Schizosaccharomyces pombe: one gene and its partners. The gene in region 3 interacts genetically with the main gene of each other region. Each region holds a gene or a part of one and is shown on either strand. Other genes may lie near its edges.

The links.
Region 1: mutations in saf4 (region 3) and pdc202 together harm fitness more than expected from each alone (negative genetic interaction), as found in Schizosaccharomyces pombe (one large-scale study listed by BioGRID).
Region 2: mutations in saf4 (region 3) and put2 together harm fitness less than expected from each alone (positive genetic interaction), as found in Schizosaccharomyces pombe (one large-scale study listed by BioGRID).
Region 4: mutations in saf4 (region 3) and nab3 together harm fitness less than expected from each alone (positive genetic interaction), as found in Schizosaccharomyces pombe (one large-scale study listed by BioGRID).

Annotation. Positions count from the first base shown.
Region 1 is NC_003424.3:583,608-588,049, reverse strand, and holds pdc202 (pyruvate decarboxylase), read right to left. Parts: upstream 2,454-4,442; coding exon 738-2,453; 3' UTR 555-737; downstream 1-554. Other genes in the region: ysp2 (peptidase family M17 cytoplasmic leucyl aminopeptidase yspII (LAP yspII)), read right to left, coding at 4,017-4,442.
Region 2 is NC_003423.3:2,323,162-2,327,620, reverse strand, and holds put2 (delta-1-pyrroline-5-carboxylate dehydrogenase), read right to left. Parts: upstream 2,581-4,459; 5' UTR 2,503-2,580; intron 2,388-2,502; 5' UTR 2,366-2,387; coding exon 719-2,365; 3' UTR 523-718; downstream 1-522. Other genes in the region: sec28 (coatomer epsilon subunit protein), read right to left, coding at 1-40, 85-115; SPOM_SPBC24C6.03 (proline--tRNA (Pro) ligase), read right to left, coding at 3,320-4,459.
Region 3 is NC_003423.3:1,786,094-1,790,797, forward strand, and holds saf4 (splicing-associated factor Saf4), read right to left. Parts: upstream 2,954-4,704; coding exon 2,693-2,953; exon of another isoform or gene 2,648-2,692; coding exon 2,399-2,647; exon of another isoform or gene 2,344-2,398; coding exon 1,954-2,343; 3' UTR 1,825-1,953; coding exon of another isoform or gene 1,550-1,824; 3' UTR 1,515-1,549; downstream 1-1,514. Other genes in the region: ubiquitin hydrolase Ubp4, read right to left, coding at 48-155; SPOM_SPBC18H10.09 (zf-CHY type zinc finger protein), read left to right, coding at 239-321, 385-1,514, 1,550-1,824; PPR repeat-containing protein Ppr2, read right to left, coding at 3,291-4,589.
Region 4 is NC_003424.3:603,792-609,187, forward strand, and holds nab3 (poly(A)-binding protein Nab3), read right to left. Parts: upstream 3,421-5,396; 5' UTR 3,059-3,420; coding exon 1,647-3,058; exon of another isoform or gene 1,565-1,646; coding exon 1,224-1,564; exon of another isoform or gene 1,169-1,223; coding exon 705-1,168; 3' UTR 521-704; downstream 1-520. Other genes in the region: spo20 (sec14 cytosolic factor family, phospholipid-intermembrane transfer protein Spo20/Sec14), read left to right, coding at 5,201-5,359.

The DNA of each region.
Region 1 (4,442 bases), on a different chromosome or scaffold from region 3:
AGCCTCTTCCTATACTTACACAATTCTTGGAATTAGTAGCAAGAATTAAAAGAAAAAGCCAACGAATATTAACCAAAATATATTTTTTCAAGGTACCAAACGCCACGAAATGCAGCTTACCTTCCTATGCGAAAGAATAGAGCGCTGAAGTATGGTGTGGTGTAGAGTGTCAAAGTCAGAAGCTGCGTTGCAGAACCATTTATAAACAACAACGCAAACCGTTCGTCCGTTGCTGTGATAGAGTGATACATAATATCAGTCAATTGCCTTTACCCGCTACATTACCTAGGAAATCGTAATAAACGAGCGTTATAATTTCATTACGTTACAAAACCACTGTATTAAATAGTAGAATCACCCAATTTTTGTAAAACTAATAAATTCTTAGCATATCACAATGTGAATGGAACGGTAGCTCCTATGTAAGAAATAAGAATGTTAAAGTTGGCTTTTAAGCAGTTTAGCAATTTTTCTGCGAAACTAGTAAGTAGATGCAAGGAAACTGGTTTCCACATTGTTTGGATTAACTCTACCTTTTCATTCATTGCTTCCAAGGTATTGTTTGTTTACGTACACCCTAACTTGACTTGAAAAATTTTAAACTAAAAAGTTGCTTTAAACATAAATTTAATAACTAATCATTATACTAAAAGACTATATGAATTGAATGGGCTTATCATAAAAAACATATAAATCAAAGGAAACTTTGTTTGCCAATTCCACTCTCAATAGCTTGCTCATTGCTTATTGATCTTAGACGTCAACTTGGCTTGCTCAACTAGGACACGAGGTGCATCCAACATAGGCATTACAAGCTCAACTACTTGAATGACATCTGCATTTGCAAACTCCTTGTCGCTAAACAACTTTTCAACGTCAGTAGGAGTTTTAACACAGTAAGTGCGGAAGTGGTTTTCAGCAGCTCCGAAAAACTTGGGAATCTGTTGGTAGCCCCATTTAGTGTTAATTTCGTTATAGCTAGCATGCAAACCATGAATTAAACGCTCAATGGTGTAACCGTCGTTGTTAATTATGAAAATAATTGGTTTGAGGTTATGGCGAATGCAGGTTGAAATCTCTGTAATCGTCAGTTGTAAGGATCCATCACCTACTACAAGAATGGTACGACGATCGGGCTCTTTAGAATCGTGGACGGCCAAAACAGCACCAAACATTGCACCAACGGAGTATCCAATAGATCCCCATAATACCTGGGAAATGGCTGTTACATCCTTTGGAAACCTGCAATCAAGGACACCAAAGTTTGCAGTTCCAGTCTCGGTGATCAAAACATCTCGGGGCTTCAAAAATTCACTAAATTTAGGCCAAAACCAGCAATGAGTAATCTCGTTGGAAGAATATCCTTCCGCATGCTTAGGCTTGATGTTGTAGCCAATGGTAGGAGCAGCCTTGGAATGACACATAGAAGCATCAAGTACTTTCAACAGTTTGCGAAGAATATACTTCATGGCTACATTTGGATAAAGAGCATATCGAATGCGCATGTGGTCTGAATGAAACTCAACGGCATTCTTTTGGCTGAGGTGGTAAGAGAAGGAACCCGTGTTAAAGTCTGATTTGAGAGCACCGATGGATAGCAACAGATCAGTGGATTCAATTCTGTCTTTAACTTCAGGATCTGAAATTGAACCAACATAAACGCCGTCAAAAAATTGCGAAGTTTCGTCAATTGCAGATTTACCCATGGGAGTTACATATGTAGGGAAATGGGTCAATTTAATCAGCTCATGTACTTCTGGAACGACACGATGTCTTACAGCACAAGCGTCAATTAAAATCACTGGTTTCTTTGCATTGACAACCATTTCCGAGATATGATTGATGACTTCTTGCTCAACTGCTGGATCGTTAGTATCCTCCTCGAGCTTTAGTCTTTTCCCAAGATTTGATGAAGATGCTTTGAAGTAGCCAGCATCAGAAGGAATACCAATGTAAACAGGCCTAGCCTTTTTATAACAAATCGACAAGGCTTCATCGATCTTTTCAGCTGCATCGTTTCCGTTATCGATCATTATACTGTAGGCAGAAACTTTCTTAAACATATCCATGAAAGTGCGAAAGTCTCCATCTCCTAAAGTATGATGAAGCAAAGCTCCAGTATCTTGCACCTTTGTGGAAGGCATTCCAACAATATGAACTACTGGGACATGCTCCGCATAAGAACCTGCCACTCCATTAATAGCGGAAAGCTCTCCCACGCCGAACGTTGTAACAATGGCTGAAAGACCATTAACACGAGCATAACCATCAGCGGCATAAGCACCATTCAACTCATTGGTATTGCCAACCCAACGAAATTTCTCATCTCCAACTTTCTCAATTAAGTCAAGTAGAGCTAAATTGAAATCTCCTGGAACACCAAGAATGGACTTGACCCCTAATTGTTCAAGCCTTTTGAATAGATATTCACCGACTAAAATATCCCCACTCATGTTTGATAATGCAATTTAATGTGCTTGTGAAATATACTCAACAAATTACAATGCTGAGTGTGTATTCCTTTTTCGCAAGATAATTATCTGTTGAATAACCAGCAGATACTTTCTGAACTTAAAGGAACAAGTGAGTTTGCTAGCTAAAAGTTAAAAAGATATAACCTTAGATGCTTCAGAGCAGGGTTACTCTGGCTATATAAGCAACATTCCGTCATCAATGATACATTGAGTTAATGTGGATTATTCTTTTTGAAACTCTTGGTACGAAACCACTCGTCAGAGGCTATTTCATTATTCGACTCAAATCTCACTATGTGCCACCCGGGAAAACGTCAACTATGCAATTTGCAATTATTGATTTAAGGCATCGTCAGCAGTTTATACTGGACGATTCTTCGGTTAGTGTAAGCAACTGCAGAAATTATTATGAAAACTCTACATCACCGAACGTTCCGTCTCGAAATTCTTAATTGTATCTATACCAAAGACAAAATTGATACCTTTTACATTATGTCTAAACTGAATTTAATGACTATTCCTTATTTCAAGCTTATTAATTTACATGCTTTATTGGTTTGTACCATGTTTGTTTGGATACTTAACATTGAGAGCTGAATGTGAAATATTGTTTCGTCCGTAAAAGTAAGGCGTACCTCATGGTTACGAGACCATGTGACCACTCAAAAATAGAATCCTCATTATTATAAAGTATCCAAAAGTCTTTGAACATATTGCTGTAATTATGATTTCACATGAATATTAACGACATTTTTCAACCGAGTTCACGATTTGCCTGACATCTAGCAATATCGATTTCACAATTGATGGACCATTTATAGGCTTCTTGCTTTAATTCTGATTATTTTTTTCATTGTTATATTGCTACAGTGTTAAGCTTCAACTTGTTGTTTTTCTGTTTATCATATTGATTTGCAAATTGTAACGCTCCTTGCTATCCTCAATAGTTGCCATGAGCCAAACGGTATAGCAAGAAGTGATCTCCAGCACTGGTTCCCCCACCCCCACATGATGTGTACATTTAAGAGGGCAGGTAACGCTAATAAATAGTATGATAAATAATACAAAATTACTGTTATAAAAATTTCAACAGATATCTAAAAAAAATTGATTTGATCATATCCCAAAGTATTGTAAACTCGCACAGGAGAATATTCTACCTTTAAAGATTTAGTTTTGTATTATGATTTTGTTTGACAAAAGTAATAGTCATGAGTAAATTGATTACTACATTTAATAAACAAATCTATATTCAAAATAGAAAAAAAAAATTCGCTACTTCGAAAGTGAAATTTAACAACATGAGACTTCAACCGAATTGATTTTATTTTTAAAGGAAACAGAACCAGAGCCATCAGAAAGACTCGGTCCTTACAACCGTTATGAACGGTTGTGGAAAACAGTATTAAAAAGAATAAAATCATGATAGCTACATATCATTGACATACACTTAACAAGGACATTGAAAAATGAGATTGGTGTAATCAACAGTAAATAAGTAAAAACATAAAGTTTGCACATATAGCCAAGAAAATAAATAAGCTAATACTTGCGAGCGACTTCAATAATAGTGCGAACTGGGCGTCCGCTCATGCCGTCACAATCCCAAGAATTAAGCTGCTTATCCATAACTCCGGCAATGTCTAAATGAGCAAAAGACAAATCTTTCTGGGCTAAGAAGCATTTAATAAAGGCAGCCGCTGTACAACAACCACCACCGGCACGACTAACATTGCACAAATCAGCATTTGAAGAACTTGTAAGTTGCTTGAGGTAAGCCTCGTGAAATGGCATACGCCAGAAAAGGTCTCCAGCATCATGGGAAGCAGTTTCAAGATTCTTCCACAACTCTTCTCCTTGAACAAATGCACCAGTAAATACATTACCGAGGGCTACTAGCATAGCACCAGTTAATGTGCTGGCTTCAATCACAGCCTTGGTCTTATACTGAGAAGAGACATAGTGAAC
Region 2 (4,459 bases), 540 kb from region 3:
TAGTTTCCACTATAAAAGTATTGACGAACAAAATACAGTTCTATCAAATATTAGTTGTTATTTAATTCCCAACTCATCTCTTACCATTAGATAAACTAGCCTCCCATGAAAACATGTTAAAAGTTTTAATTATGTTGGGCGATGTGTGGAGTAGAGAGTATGTGGGTTAATGGTGTTTGTACATGAGTAACCCTACAACAAAATGTAAAGCAAACGAACTTTCCATCAAGACTTGTAATTTTTCTAATTGCTCCGAAGCCTAATATAATATATTTCGCAGTCAGCAAGTAAAATGTTCGATAATTGAGATCCTTTTTCTACAGGTCGTTGTTGTATTCAAGAATCACCAGCAAACTACATTTTGGTCCACTGGCTTTTATATACAATGCAACAAATCTAGTGTTATAAATCAATACATGTTAACAAAGCGAACATTATAATTTATTAGAATAACAAATGGCGAGCTTTAAAAAAAAAGAAAAAAAAAAATTGTAAAACCTAGACTACCTTTGAAAGTTTGAGTTTAACTCAAGGTAACTAATCAATATATATATATATATATACTTCCTTTATTCCTCACATATTGTACTAAACCCAAAAAAAAAAAGGTTGTGGTCTTTTTTATGGCAGTATCAAAGTACAGAGTAAAACACTCTACAACTCCAATGTCTATCTAAATTCTAAAAATTAAATCCAAATCAAAAAGGCCAAAACAAACTTAAAAGTTGGAAGGGTATAAAACAGAGTCTGCATAAGCAAACGTATCTTTGATGGAGCGAGGAGAAACGAATCGAGACAGAATCATTCCGCTACCAGCTTTATCGTTAGTACCACTGGCACGAGCACCACCAAAAGGTTGTTCACCAACAACAGCACCAGTACACTTATCATTGATATAGAAGTTACCAGCGGCATTACGGAGACGGTCAGTCAACTTTCTGACAACAACACGGTCCTGAGCGAAGATGGATCCGGTTAAACCATAAGGAGTGGTAGTATCGATGAGATCGCAAACAGCGTCTAAGTTGTCATCCTCATATACATAAACAGACAGTACGGGGCCGAACAATTCGTTAACGAATATATCATGTTTAGGGTTTTTAGAAAGTAAAACGGTAGGTTCAACAAAGAAACCTTCGGAATCATCAGCTTTACCGCCAGCCAAAACTTCAATTTCAGAATCGGAAGCAGCACTCTCAAGAACCTTCTTCAGTTTGTTAAAGCTTGCTTGATGGATAACAGGGCCCACAAAATTAGCAAAATCAGTTAAAGGAGCACCGACCTTAAGAGACTTGACCTGTTTGGTAAGCTCATCACGGAAACCATTTTCCCAAGCATACTTAGAAACGTAAAGACGAGAAAGGGCAGAGCACTTTTGGCCTTGATATTCGAAAGCAGCACGAACAGCATTAACAACGGCACTCTTAATTTCAGCGGAAGAATGTACAAGATGAAAGTTCTTACCACCAGTCTCACCGACGATTTTGGGGTAAGTGCGGTATTTTCCGTTGGCAACATTCTCGCCAATTGTTCCCCAAAGGCTACGAAAGACGGCTGTGCTACCAGTAAAATGAAGACCAGCAAACTCAGGGTGGTTGAAACAAACCTTGGAGACTTCAACAGCGTCACCAGGGATAAATTGAAGTGCTCCAGCGGGAAGACCAGCTTCACGGAAGATTTGGTAAACAATGTAGCTAGAAAGGACTGCATGGTCAGAAGGCTTCATTAAAACGACGTTGCCCATGAGAAGGGGGGCAGCAGCCAAGTTACCAGCAATAGCTGTAAAGTTGAAAGGAGTAATGGCATAAACGAAACCTTCCAAAGGACGATATTCCATACGGTTCCAGACACCAGGAGTGTTTTCGGGAGGTTGGCTGGCATATAATTCACTAGCATACTTGGTATTGAAGCGAAGGAAGTCAATGATCTCCATTCCAGCGTCAATTTCAGCTTGCCAGATGTTCTTACCCTGGCCAATCATTGTAGCAGCCATGAGCTTGTAACGGTACTTGGTGCTTATCAAATGAGCAGCCTTCAAGAAAATGGCAGAACGGTCAGCAAAAGGTAAGGATTCCCAGACCTTCTTTCCACGAAGTGCTGCCTCAATGGCATCTTCAACGTGCTTGGCACCAGCACGGTGATAGCGAGCAACGACCTTTTTGTGCTCAAAAGGACAACGCTGCTCACCAATGGTATTCGTTTCAACTTCCTTACCATCAATGATGACAGGGATAGTGACAGGTAATTCAGCCTCTAACTCCTTGTAGGCCTTGACGATTCCCTCTCTGTCAGCACTATTGGGACCATAGTGTTTAGGAGGCTCGTTCTTAATGGCAGGTAATTTGAACTCAGCAAATTGTGACATTTTACTTAAAAATGAAATAAATCTAATAAGTATTAATATCGCATAAATAAAACGTAGAAAACCTAAAGATAGAAAGCAATGAAAAGACGCGTAGGGGTCTCACTCAAAACAGTTATTACATAGATATAAATACTTACTAGTTTCAATCCAAACGTTTAAAGAGCGTTAGAAATCGTTTCCTTTCTAATCGCCTGTATTGAGGTATTGGTGTTCTGGAAATATCCTGACAGAGATTTGCCTCTTATATATATACTCCTATATATTCTTATAAACAGGTAGTGTCGATGTGATCGCACTCCGTGGAATTTGCAATTTTGCTTAAAAAATCAGCTAAAATATTGATTATGAGACTTATAGAAGTGAACCCTGAACTTGTTGGTCTTTGGTCGTATTATTTGATTTATTTCAAAGGGAAGTGTTTTAACTGCTTTTAATCACACTCGGACATCTTCACATTATCTTACCGAACTATTAAATAGATAGCCTGAAGGCTTGGAATTGTATTTCGCTTAAATTGTAATCTAGCGCAAATCTTTATGATTGTTAATATTAAACTCTTGCTTCGTACTATTGAATCAGCTAGCTCTTTGCAGGGATTACTTCAAACTTAGTTTTGCATCCGATCCTCAGATTGTGTATCTGATTTAATTTATGAGTTCAAACTATAGTTGCAGAAAACCGAATTACAAAAAGAAGTAGGAAGGAAACATGACACTTTTTTAATGTTTATAAAATAGTAAGATATCAATAAAGCGGAACGAGTTTTTGTCTGATACTACAAAACAAATTTTATCGAAATGATGATTTCAGCATTTTGCATTGATATAATTTTTGGACAAAAAAGCTTTTTTCCAATGTTCACAAGTAGAAATGGTATCTATTTGAACGATAAGTTAAATTCTTGACATTAGATTACTCTCATAGCATAAAAAAATATTGTAGGATTTGACAAATTTAAAGAAAGTTTCCCAAGAGTACTTGATGCAGTGAATCTTTGTCAAGTTTATATCGTTCACCTGAAGAACGAACAATAATTTCACATATTCCTTCCTCTTGAAATCTTGATCCTACAACTATTACAAATGGATATCCAATCAACTCAGCATCTCTCATTTTATATCCAAAAGCTCTATTTTGTCTGTCCTCCAACAGCACATTATCAAAGCCTACAACGTTAGCCGTGGCATCGTAAACCGTTTCAGCGCTCTGAATATGATTATCAGAAGTAGGAACAACTAGTACTTTCCAAGGAGCTATCGACGATGGCCACACTAAACCCTTTGCATCTTTGGTTACATGAGCGACTGCAGCTATAAGTCTTGAAACACCGATTCCATAACATCCCATATGAAGGACTTCCTGTTTGTTTTTTACTTCTACCGTTGCATTAAATTTGGAGGAATAAATTTTTCCAAGATAGAAGGCATGTCCTACTTCAATCGCGGTAGTTGAAGTTAGCTGATCATTGCAATTAGGGCATGAAATATCACTGGATGTTTTAGACAAATCAAGCATTTCGGAATTTGTTGAATAATGACAAGACGGACATGTATAGATTACATCTTCTCCCACAGGGTGTCGATAATGAAATTCGTGTGATAAGTTTCCTCCAATATTACCCGTAGCAGCTTTCACCATCACGAATGGCAATCCCACTTCTTTGAAAAAAGTATGATATGCTTGCAAAACATCCTCGTAAGTTTTCATAGCGGATGCTTTGTCGATATCAAAAGTATAAAGATCCTTCATCATGAACTCTCTACCGCGAAGAAGACCACCTCGCGGACGTAATTCATCCCGAAACTTTCGACCTATCTGGTAAACACGTATCGGTAATTGCTTTTGAGAATCTATGATTGTAGCCATAGTGCGAGTAACATCTTCCTCATGGGTAGGAGCAAGGCACATTTCTCTGTCATTTCGGTCATGAAGACGAAAAAGTTCACTTCCAGTCTTTTGCCATCTTCCACTTTTCTCCCATATCTCCTTACTAGAAAGATGTGCCAAACTGATCGCTGAAGCACCCAAAGAACGCATTGATATGTGCAACAAGTCACATATTTTATTTTGTACACGCAACCCCAGAGGTAAATA
Region 3 (4,704 bases):
GTAATTGAAGCACATTACTATAAACGGCACGGAAAAATTAGACATACCTCTTCAAGCCAGCGTTGTCCTCTGAAGGAACAGCTTTGAATCGTTTCATCTTCATTAATATAAACGAATGCTAATTCAAATAGTCTGTCGAAATAATCATCGGACATCCGAGGAAGAACCGAGTATTTGTGTTGGCGACTTAACCTGAATTGAACCAAATACTACAAGACTATAGCCTTTTTTGGTTATTATGGTTTCAATTGAAGCTATGAAGGATTCAAATTGGGACTTGCAGATACAAGTATTCCGGCGAAGGCTTAATCCGGAAGTTATGTAAGTACTAAGCAGGTTAGCTGTGGGTTAGTTAATGTAAACATCTTTATTAACTAGTACCAGAGAGGCAAGAAATGAGATTTTCTTATCCTTGCCCAGTGATCATGGATTGATTACTTTAGTTATAAATAAAGATAAACCGTTTCAAATATCGGTATTACTTGAAAAAAATCAAGAGTTCATGCAAACGGCAATGAATAAGTACGTTGAAACGGCATTTCAAAATCAGAAAACAACTTTGACAAGTTTATTTAATTATTTGTTACAAAATTGGAAATCATTTGAGACATGCAATACAAAAGAGCGTGAGTTGATGGTTCAACAAGTCGATTCTAAGAAACCAGAAACCCCAACTGACTTAGAGCCGTTGGCAAATAAGCTTGAAGGACCTCTATCAGAGAGGGTTCATTTGAACACTACACTTGACTATGAAGTACTGCGTGGTCAAAATCACTGTCAAAAGCAGAATACTACCCAAACAAAAACTACCATCTCTGGCTCTGAACAGTTATTCAATGATGAAAAGCCAAAAAAAATTATTTATTCAAAAGGAGGAAACGATGGGAAAGAAGATGATCTACAAAATGTTAATGAACCACAGGATGCTTACAGTAACGATCATGACATTCAGAGCAAAGACACAGAGCTTCTGGGTAACGAATACTGCTTAGAATGGAAGAATCCGCATTTAACTAATGTCGGTACTCTCAAAGCACCAATTTTACGTTTGGTCATAAAGTGTGTTCGGTGCCATTATGGAAGTGAAATTTCTATTGCTACAAAATTTTCTCTTGTTTGCAATAAGTGTAGTAATACTCTAAGATTAGTTTGGGTGCCTGGTGTGATTCACCCAAATAATGCCCGTTTAGGTATCCTCCATACTTTAGGATGTGTACCGGTTGACGTGATGCCCATTGACTGTCAGGTCTCTTGTATGGAATGTGTTGATGAGCAGATAACATCCTTTAAAGGTATTTCTTCCATGCAGCCCATGCTACAGTTTTGTAAAGTATGCAAAAACAGAATCTTGGTTGAACATCAAGATACCGAATTTCATTTGTTAAAACAACGACAAAGTTCAATGGGCGGGAAGGTGAGCGCAAAAAAGAAGCAAAAACAAAACTTAAACATTACGAAAGGATTGCCACTTCCCAATAATGGTGCTTGCGAACATTACAAAAAATCATTCAGATGTAAGTCGTTTATAAAATTCATAATTAACAATCAGGGTTTCGTTTTTCATGTTGTGATCGTGTTTATCCATGTGATGAATGTCATGACGCTGATCAAAATCATACATTTGAGCATGCTAATCGAATAATATGTGGGTACTGTGCCATGGAATCTTTCTACAAAAAGGATGCAACTTGCCCCCATTGTGGAAATATGACTGTGAAAAAACAAACCAGTGCCTACTGGGAGGGAGGAAAAGGAATGCGCGATCGCGTTCGCATGAGTAGGAAGGATCCAAGGAAGTACAAAAGGAAGCATCACGGTAATTAATTGGGTTGCATGACATCCATATTTTTTTGCTTCATTAGATACCCATATTGTATAAAAATTTAATGAATAACAAGTAGTTAATCTTTTGATAGAAGATACTTTTAAAGTCTTCGTATTTAACCAAAATAATTATCCTTCATCATCACTCACTTCATAATTGACGAGAGAAACCGAATTATCTTCAAGGATTTTCTCTCCCTTTAAATTTTCTGTAGGAAATTTCCTTTGCTCGCTCCTTAGCTTCTCGGAAGGGACAAATTTTCGAGCAAAAGGATCTTTTTTTGCGAATGAAGTCTCAGCAAACTTTGCAAAAGTCGAAAATGTTCTAGAAGAGGGCATTAATGTTCTTCTATAATCTAATTTCCTTATAAATTTATTCTTTCCTAATTCGTTATCTAGCAACAATAATGCCTTATCCTTGTCAGAAGAAGAGGGTGGTAATATATCAATGTCCAACGCTGCACGGTTTTTGAGAGATAGATCTTTAGCTTCTTGCTTTTTTTCAATTTTTTTCCTTTCCTAAGTTATGGGTTAGTTAATATGAAAATTTTAACGCAAAACAAATTCTTCTTACCCGAAACTGTTTTCGCAGCCTCTGAGAAGAAACGAAAGGATCCGACCAAAGCCTTTCATTTTTCTCATATATAAAGTTTATTACAGAACTATTATGCTTTTCTGACTTTTGCTGAGTTAATTGGGTTTCCAGCGCTTCAATTGCATCAGACGGCACCTTTTCGTCGTTTTCAGCTTTTGCAGGACGTTCATTGATGTCTTGAGGTTCAATTTTCCTTCTGCCTCCAGAAGCAACGATGTATTCTGTATTCTATTTATGTCAGTAACAAATTTGTTAAATTAATCAAACCAGTACCTTAGGATCCGTATGTACATCGATAGGGTTTGAGCATAAATGACATTTTAAGCTGAATGACCATATTTTCGTAGTATAGTATGAGCCAATCTCTTTTTTAACAGCATTGAATCTAGTGCCTTGTTGAATGATATTTTCACAATTGTTGCACCACACTGGAAATGGCATTTCAAACCGAATTACATTTCGTAATTTATCAAATTTTCTTTTAGCATTCGGCCCTTCCGGGGGAATATATTTCCCCATATTAAATCCTTGCATTTTTAGTGAGTATATAGCTCTTTATGCCCAAAATCAGTAGTTCCTAAGTTAATACTACGTCTAGGTGAAGTTCAGGCTAAATCAGTGGCATGCAACAGAAACATAATTATAACTCTTAGTTAATTCATGGCTTTTCAACAAACAATTTTAAATTACGTTTGCTAAATTGACGTTAAAATAATAAGGGTTCCATTCTACAGTTTCAAACGGACAAGGTAAACATGTACAAATAAATAAATTACATGACGATTATTTGAATTCATTTCTTATAAATTAATAGAAAATTATAAATGACATAAAAAGGTATCGATGAATTATTAAACACTTGATGATATTTTTAGGTTGCTTCAACGGGGACGTTCAATTTCTTGGCCAAGTCTAAGAAGCTTTTCGTGTAGCTATAAAATTTCGGCCTTTTGCATAATGATAAGACAATCAAAAATGTCTGCTGAGTAGGGAAAGGACCGTTATGCGACATCCTTTTAATGGTATTTAAGCATTCAGCTGCTTGGCCCTGCTGAACAAGGTTACGTAGCTTCTCATGATATACTTGAAGATTTAAATCAAATTTGTGACTTTCCTCAAAATACTTCCAATACCTTGCTAACAAATCACCGTTTTGTATTTGACGAATGACCTGTAATGCTGTAACCAAACTTCTTGAAGTACAATCGCAATATGGGGGTAAAGGATAACGCAAGTTGGAATCTTCGAAAATCTGATATTCCAATCCCATCACTTTTGTAAGAATATTTAACCCCACGTTTCTCACTTGAGGCGAGTTGCTAGTAGCCAGAAGTTTCACAAAGGAACAAATAAGACTTTCATCAACTGCTATTCCTTTCTTTTGGCATTCAAGGACAAAATAATTCCAAAGATTCGTCCCCATCTTTAACACTTCTTCACGTTGTTCCGGATTGAACATAGAAAAGTCGTTCAAAAGTCGAAGAATTTGAGATCCACTATAGAAATCCAATGTTTGTTTGATGGATGGAATAATCATTGACACCAATACCATACTTTTAAGCTTTAGACTACACTTGGATATAATTCGTATGTGATGCAAATTGGATGTGACATTATTAGACTCCTTGAGAGCACTAGCTGTTACCTTTTCACTATATTCACGTAGTTTAGAAAAATTTCCTTGCTTATTCTTTTCAATAGCATCGCAAAATCCCTTTAGAAGAATGGAGTATGTATGATCGCTAGGTTTTTGTTGGCGCTTTTTCATATCATTGTACAAAGACCAAGCAGCGTTGTAATGCCCTTTAGCTAAATGATATTGTAGTACAAGGTTATAGGCAACCGTCTTCTTGGCATTTGATCTCTCGTACAGTAAATGCAATGCTTTCTCTAAAGACTCTTTTTGAAGTAACGAAGATACATTTTTAGCCAGTTTGAAACCATCGTTTCTTATTAAGGATGACTTAGTTTTTTTATTTCGAAACTCATTTAGATTGTTGACTTGCTCCTTGAATTTCAAAGCATCAGCGATTAAAAGGCGCTTTCGTACTAATTTCCGCGCATTACTTACTGAAACACTATACGTGGTTGCAAATTCCCGCAAGCAGAAGCGGTTTAGGAGCAAATCGACAAAGGCCCTTCGCGGAAATGTCCTTTTAATGAATTGCATTAAACAAACCACTAGTTTATTCAAGTTTAGGATTAAAACCGCGTTAGTAGGAAGTAAGTTATAAAATATGAGTTGTTACGAATGAAGACACTACATCATTAGTTCAACCATCGTC
Region 4 (5,396 bases), on a different chromosome or scaffold from region 3:
ATTGTAGTTGCCTCCGTATTTGAAGTGGAGGCACAAAATAAAACGAGGATCCTTCAAAACTTCCTATTTTAGAGAATCCTTTAAAAGCACCTTGATATTCAGACCGACCAGCGGTTGTTATTTCTAATTAAAAAAATTAACCTGATAATATACTTTAAATAAAGTTCCTTAATTGCAACTTCAGATTGGGAGGCACTTGTATTACTAGTAATGAAAAGATTATAATATAAAAGTTACTACTTACTTACTTACTAAGCTTACAACGTACTAGTCGGCGTTGCGTAGCAGTGCATCGCTGTTATCAGATCAATTAAACTGCACGTTTACCTAAGTAGTAAAATATTAAAAGGACATTTGACATTCATGATCATCAAATTAATAATAAAAATATGTCGTTGTTATTAATTTTTACTCGCTAAATCTCTTAATCAGTAAAAATCAAGTATCGAAACTTTCTTCCTAACGATTTATTACCATTTTTTGTATGCATCGAAAAAAATACAAATGAACAGTTGATAGTCCGTGCAGCAAGAAAAATTACTTGTCTGTTGGTTTTTACATATAAATGCTTCAAGAATAACTGAGAAAAAAGTGAAATAAATATTGAAGACAAGGACATATATATCGCAAAACCATATTAACAAAGTGCTACCTAAAACACTTGTTAACAAATAATATATATAAACCTTTTCTAAGGTCAGATATCAAAAATCAGGTTGCTTGAGCTCTGCGAGCTGCTCTAATATCTTTTGAAGTTGCTTGTTTCCAGCAACTGAAGACCTTTGGCGGCTTTCTTGAGAATGCAATGCTTCGTAATTATCACGAGCATAATTTTTAGGCATCTCATTCACAACAAATTGGGACTGAGATGTAATTGTTCCAAATGATCCTCCGGTATCATTAGGATTAAAACTAACTCTAGTTGGAATGTATGAAGTAGTGCTATAGGTATTTTGAATGAATCCTAATAAATGGTGAAGATTAACAGAATCTAAAGAACCTACTAAAGCTGGTAGATTAGGATTCGTTGATATACAGGGAGATGGCACGTCAGGCACAATACGCTCACCATTATACGATGGCGTACTAGAAGCAGCTGAGTGCATGAGAGAAGTCTTTGCGTGGTGAACAATACTTGCAGCAACCATCACGTCCACAGCAGCATATTCTATAAAGACAAAGTTAGAGTTCTGTCAAAACACATATATCTTTATTCAACGTACCATCACAACGGACTTCTGAATCGCTAGATCCGTCTTTAAACACTTGAACCGACACCTTCCCTAGGTGAGCCAAACCGGCGTTTATCAAGATAATGGATTTAACGCTGTTAATAATACAGCTTTTAATAATGACTTGTAAGTTTGAGTCACGGTACAAACAAGTGGTATGTATATTCAATCGACGCTCCTGAAAGACTTTTTCCACTCCCCATACAAATTCCTTTGGACAGTCTTCCGTGACTAGTATTTCACAATCAGGGCTGAAGTTTTTAGACATGGATATAGATCCCTTTCTATCGTAGGATTTACCCTTCGACATTAAAGGAGATCGCGTGCGTTTTCTGTATTACGTTAGCAAGGCTAAAAAAACAAACAAAATTGCGATGTTTTGCGAAATTAATTGCAGCAACGATAATTCCTTACCTGCTACTAGTGGGATAAGGAAGGTTTCCAATCATTTCAGAATATTGATTACTTTTGGTAACATGTGATCCTTTCTTCATGTTTTCTATTTGATTTTGATATTTCTTCTGAATTTTAGAAATTTCCAAATGCAGCTTTTGACCCCGAACAAAATTGCCTTGTTCCGCATTTAAAGCCCTAGCACAATCTTCGTTTGTAAAAAACTGAACGAAACCATAATTTGCTTTTAAAACTATCTGTGCTAAAGGCCCATAAATTTTAAAAACTTTCCACAAATTTCGTTTAGATAAGCTCTTTGTATTTAGATGACCCAAAAATAAGCGAGAAGCTGAAGGAAATTGCCCTGGATACCAGTTTGACATTATACTTTCTTCATCTTTCAAAAATTGTTGAAATCTTTGTTCATCCTCTAAGTTCATTTGCAACGATTTCTCGGCAGCATTGTTACCCAAATATTCAACATTTTGTGCTTCATGATTAAGTTGCAAATTTTCAGGACTATACGCAGATTCCGGGGAACTGGGTGTCTGGGGATTATGATGTTCATGTAATTCATTATGCTCATTATAATAATTGGGCAAATTAGCACTATACGAATAAATACTAGTCCTGTGAGCCTCAGGACTAGTTGACAAGTCTTTAGAATAGGGAATAAAATCAGTAGTTCTATAAGGTAAATCTAATTTCTCATGAGACTTTCCATATTCAATTTCTTCAAAATTCACCGAGCTATAAGTTTTTGACGGATCATAATAAGTGGTGTTTTGTAAGGATTGTTCAGGTAAATGCTCTGAAGCGGTCTGAAAATCGTATACTTGTAAATCTTTAGTAGAAGAGTTTTCAGTTTCTTGTTCCACTGGTTCATTGGATATCGAAAAAGGCTTATTTTGCTCAACGTCGAGTGAAGGAGGACTTTGAGAGGTAGATCCGTTTCCCCCCGAAACACTTGGTTGAGTAGTGGAAAGTGAATCCTTACTTTGAAAGTCGGAAGAAGTTGACTCTAAAATTGGAGCTCCATATATGTTTTTAGAAATTTCCTCATTGTTGGTGTCCGAAACTGGAATATTATTATAAGTATCTGAAGGAGTTAACCGAATGTTGCTAGTAGCTGAGTTTAATATTGGTATCTCCAAACTTCCAGAAGGAATACCGGATACTTGATCAAAGTTTGCATCATCTGACTTATTCCCATCCTTATTTTCTAATGTACGTTCATCAACGTTGTTGAATAAAGTGTCGTCTTGTGTTTGTAAAGCACTTATCGAAGCAGCAGCCTGTTTGACAGGTGAGTTGTAGTCTGGTTCATATGGAGATGATACCTGGTCTTGAAGCTCGGAGTTTGTACTGGTTTCTAAAATATTCTGCACAGGAGTTTCCACTTGGAACGAAGAATCTTTAGACGAGGATGACATTTATTGATTGACTTGAAAAGTAAAACCAAAATAAAACATCAAATTTTTTTAATTTATTATTATTAACAGGGAATATGAAGGAGAATTAAGAGGACAGAGTAACAAAAACAAAATTAGCTTTAAAAGATTAAAGTACTAAATTTTATGCATTTGATAAACTGGTCCAATTTTTAAATAAAATATTTACACAAGGTGCAATGAATGGAAATAACTAGAGGGTGAAACAGAAAAAGTAAAAATTTCACACTCAACCAAATGTGTAAAGAGTTGGCGATTAAAAGGAAATTTATGCAGATGGTTTTCTTCCAACTACCTTTATTTTTTTTTCTTCTTCACAACTTTATGTCTTAGGTAGAAGATACGGCGGAGTGGTACTAAAATTGCATCCTTTAAATAGATGAAAAATTAAGTTGCCACTCAAATGAATGGAACTTCGGGCTTTTCAAAACCACCGCCAGGGAAATGACATGAAAACAATTTTACTATCCCGAAATTTTCTTTTTTTCAGCTTCTGCACTGATAGCATAATCGTTTCCAAAACAAACTGTAAACTAAATTTTCATAAAAGCAGTAAATTTTCAAACTTGGAGATATCGGGGTAGGGTTACCGTTATTGCAGTTCAAATAACCATTGCTATTATTTAATATGTATAAAAAAACCATGTAGTAATAGACTCGTGTGCAAAGTACACTTCAGCTGGGTTTGAGGTGCAAGGTTGCCAATTAAGAAACGTAGTACTGATTCTTTTCACCTCTACCATACTTATTCAATGTTAAATGCTTATAACATTGATATCCACGGTTTTCATCCTATATTCAAACTATGCTTCCTGCCTTTAGTAACAAGCTTGCGTAATGCATTGTTTCCTGCATTTATTCGTTTGTTAAATTATAACGATATTTTGACGATTATACTATCCTTCCGTAACGTTAATATAATAATCAAAAATTTATATTGTTATAGGTCTTTAAAGGTAAAATCAATGTAAATAAATGTATTATTGCTAACATGTAGAAAATTTGATACTAACTTGAAAATTTTATGCAAGTACAAAATGGACTGTCCATTCAAGCAATGCCTTTCACTCTTGTATGTTTTGTTAAACTTTGCGTGGAAGAAACGCTTTCAAAATTATGGCTGAAGTTCGATCGAAAGAGAAGGAAACAATAATTACGTTTGCGAGACAAAACTAGTTTTTAAAAAAATTTTGTATATATATTTAAGTGGCTGTTAGTCTAATTATTATTTATTTTATTCATTCTTTAGATTTTATTTTATTTTATTTTTTATGTCGTATAGTATTACTTTATTTACGTTTCAATATGTATTTTTTGTTAAATTGCTTATTCACGAAATATTTTTCCATTTGCAATAAAATTTCTTTTCCTTTACTATATTTGCTTATTTAAAGTTCTTTTTTAATCACAACTCTATGACAATTTTCTACTCCTCATTTATAATACGAAAACTGAACAATCATAAAATTGAACTGTTTTACTTCACATAAATATCCAGCTACGATACTCCTATACCGTTTTTACATAGACAACAATCTCAAAATCGCAATATGATCATCCATTTACATATTCTATACTCTATGTACTATAACGCTTCTTAGTGCCTGGTTTACTCTTTCAAAGCTGTCAGGTGCATAAATATTGATGACAGAAAATCACCACAAGCGCACTCAAAGGCTTAAATAAAATAAACATTATCTATCGTTCGTTTTTTTTGGTAAAGAAAAAATGCTTCCACAAAGTTAAATTGTCACTTTTTCCCCATGTTTTATTTACCTTCAACGCCTCGTTGAAGGCCATTCTGCATCTCAAATTTGTCGCACTTTTCATGCAAGTTGAAAAATTGGTTATACACAATTTAAACCTCATACGAGGAGCTTCTTCCTCTCATCTGATTTTTAACACTGAAGTTTATCCTCATACTCACATATAACAATAGCGTTGGGTGTAGCATGGCAACAAAGGTTCCTGCGGTAGTAGGTAAAAGGCCCCCACGCTTGACTGATCCCCCACGGCTGATGACCACTAGTATTAAGGTCGCTGACGTTCTTCCTTTTCCTTTATACATCTTGTACAGACTGGGTCATTAGGTCTTCTCTCTACAACCATCGTCTAAACAAAAAGATGTCAGAAACTATATCGGATCCTTATCCTCTAACTAATCCAAATGCTCCATTAGGGCACCCAGGGCATTTGAATTCTACACAGCAAGCTACGCTAGATAGCATGCGTTTAGAGTTACAAAAACTTGGATACACGGAAAGATTAGACGATGCCACTTTAGTAAGTTGTACAGCAGGAAACTTTGTGTTTGTACTAA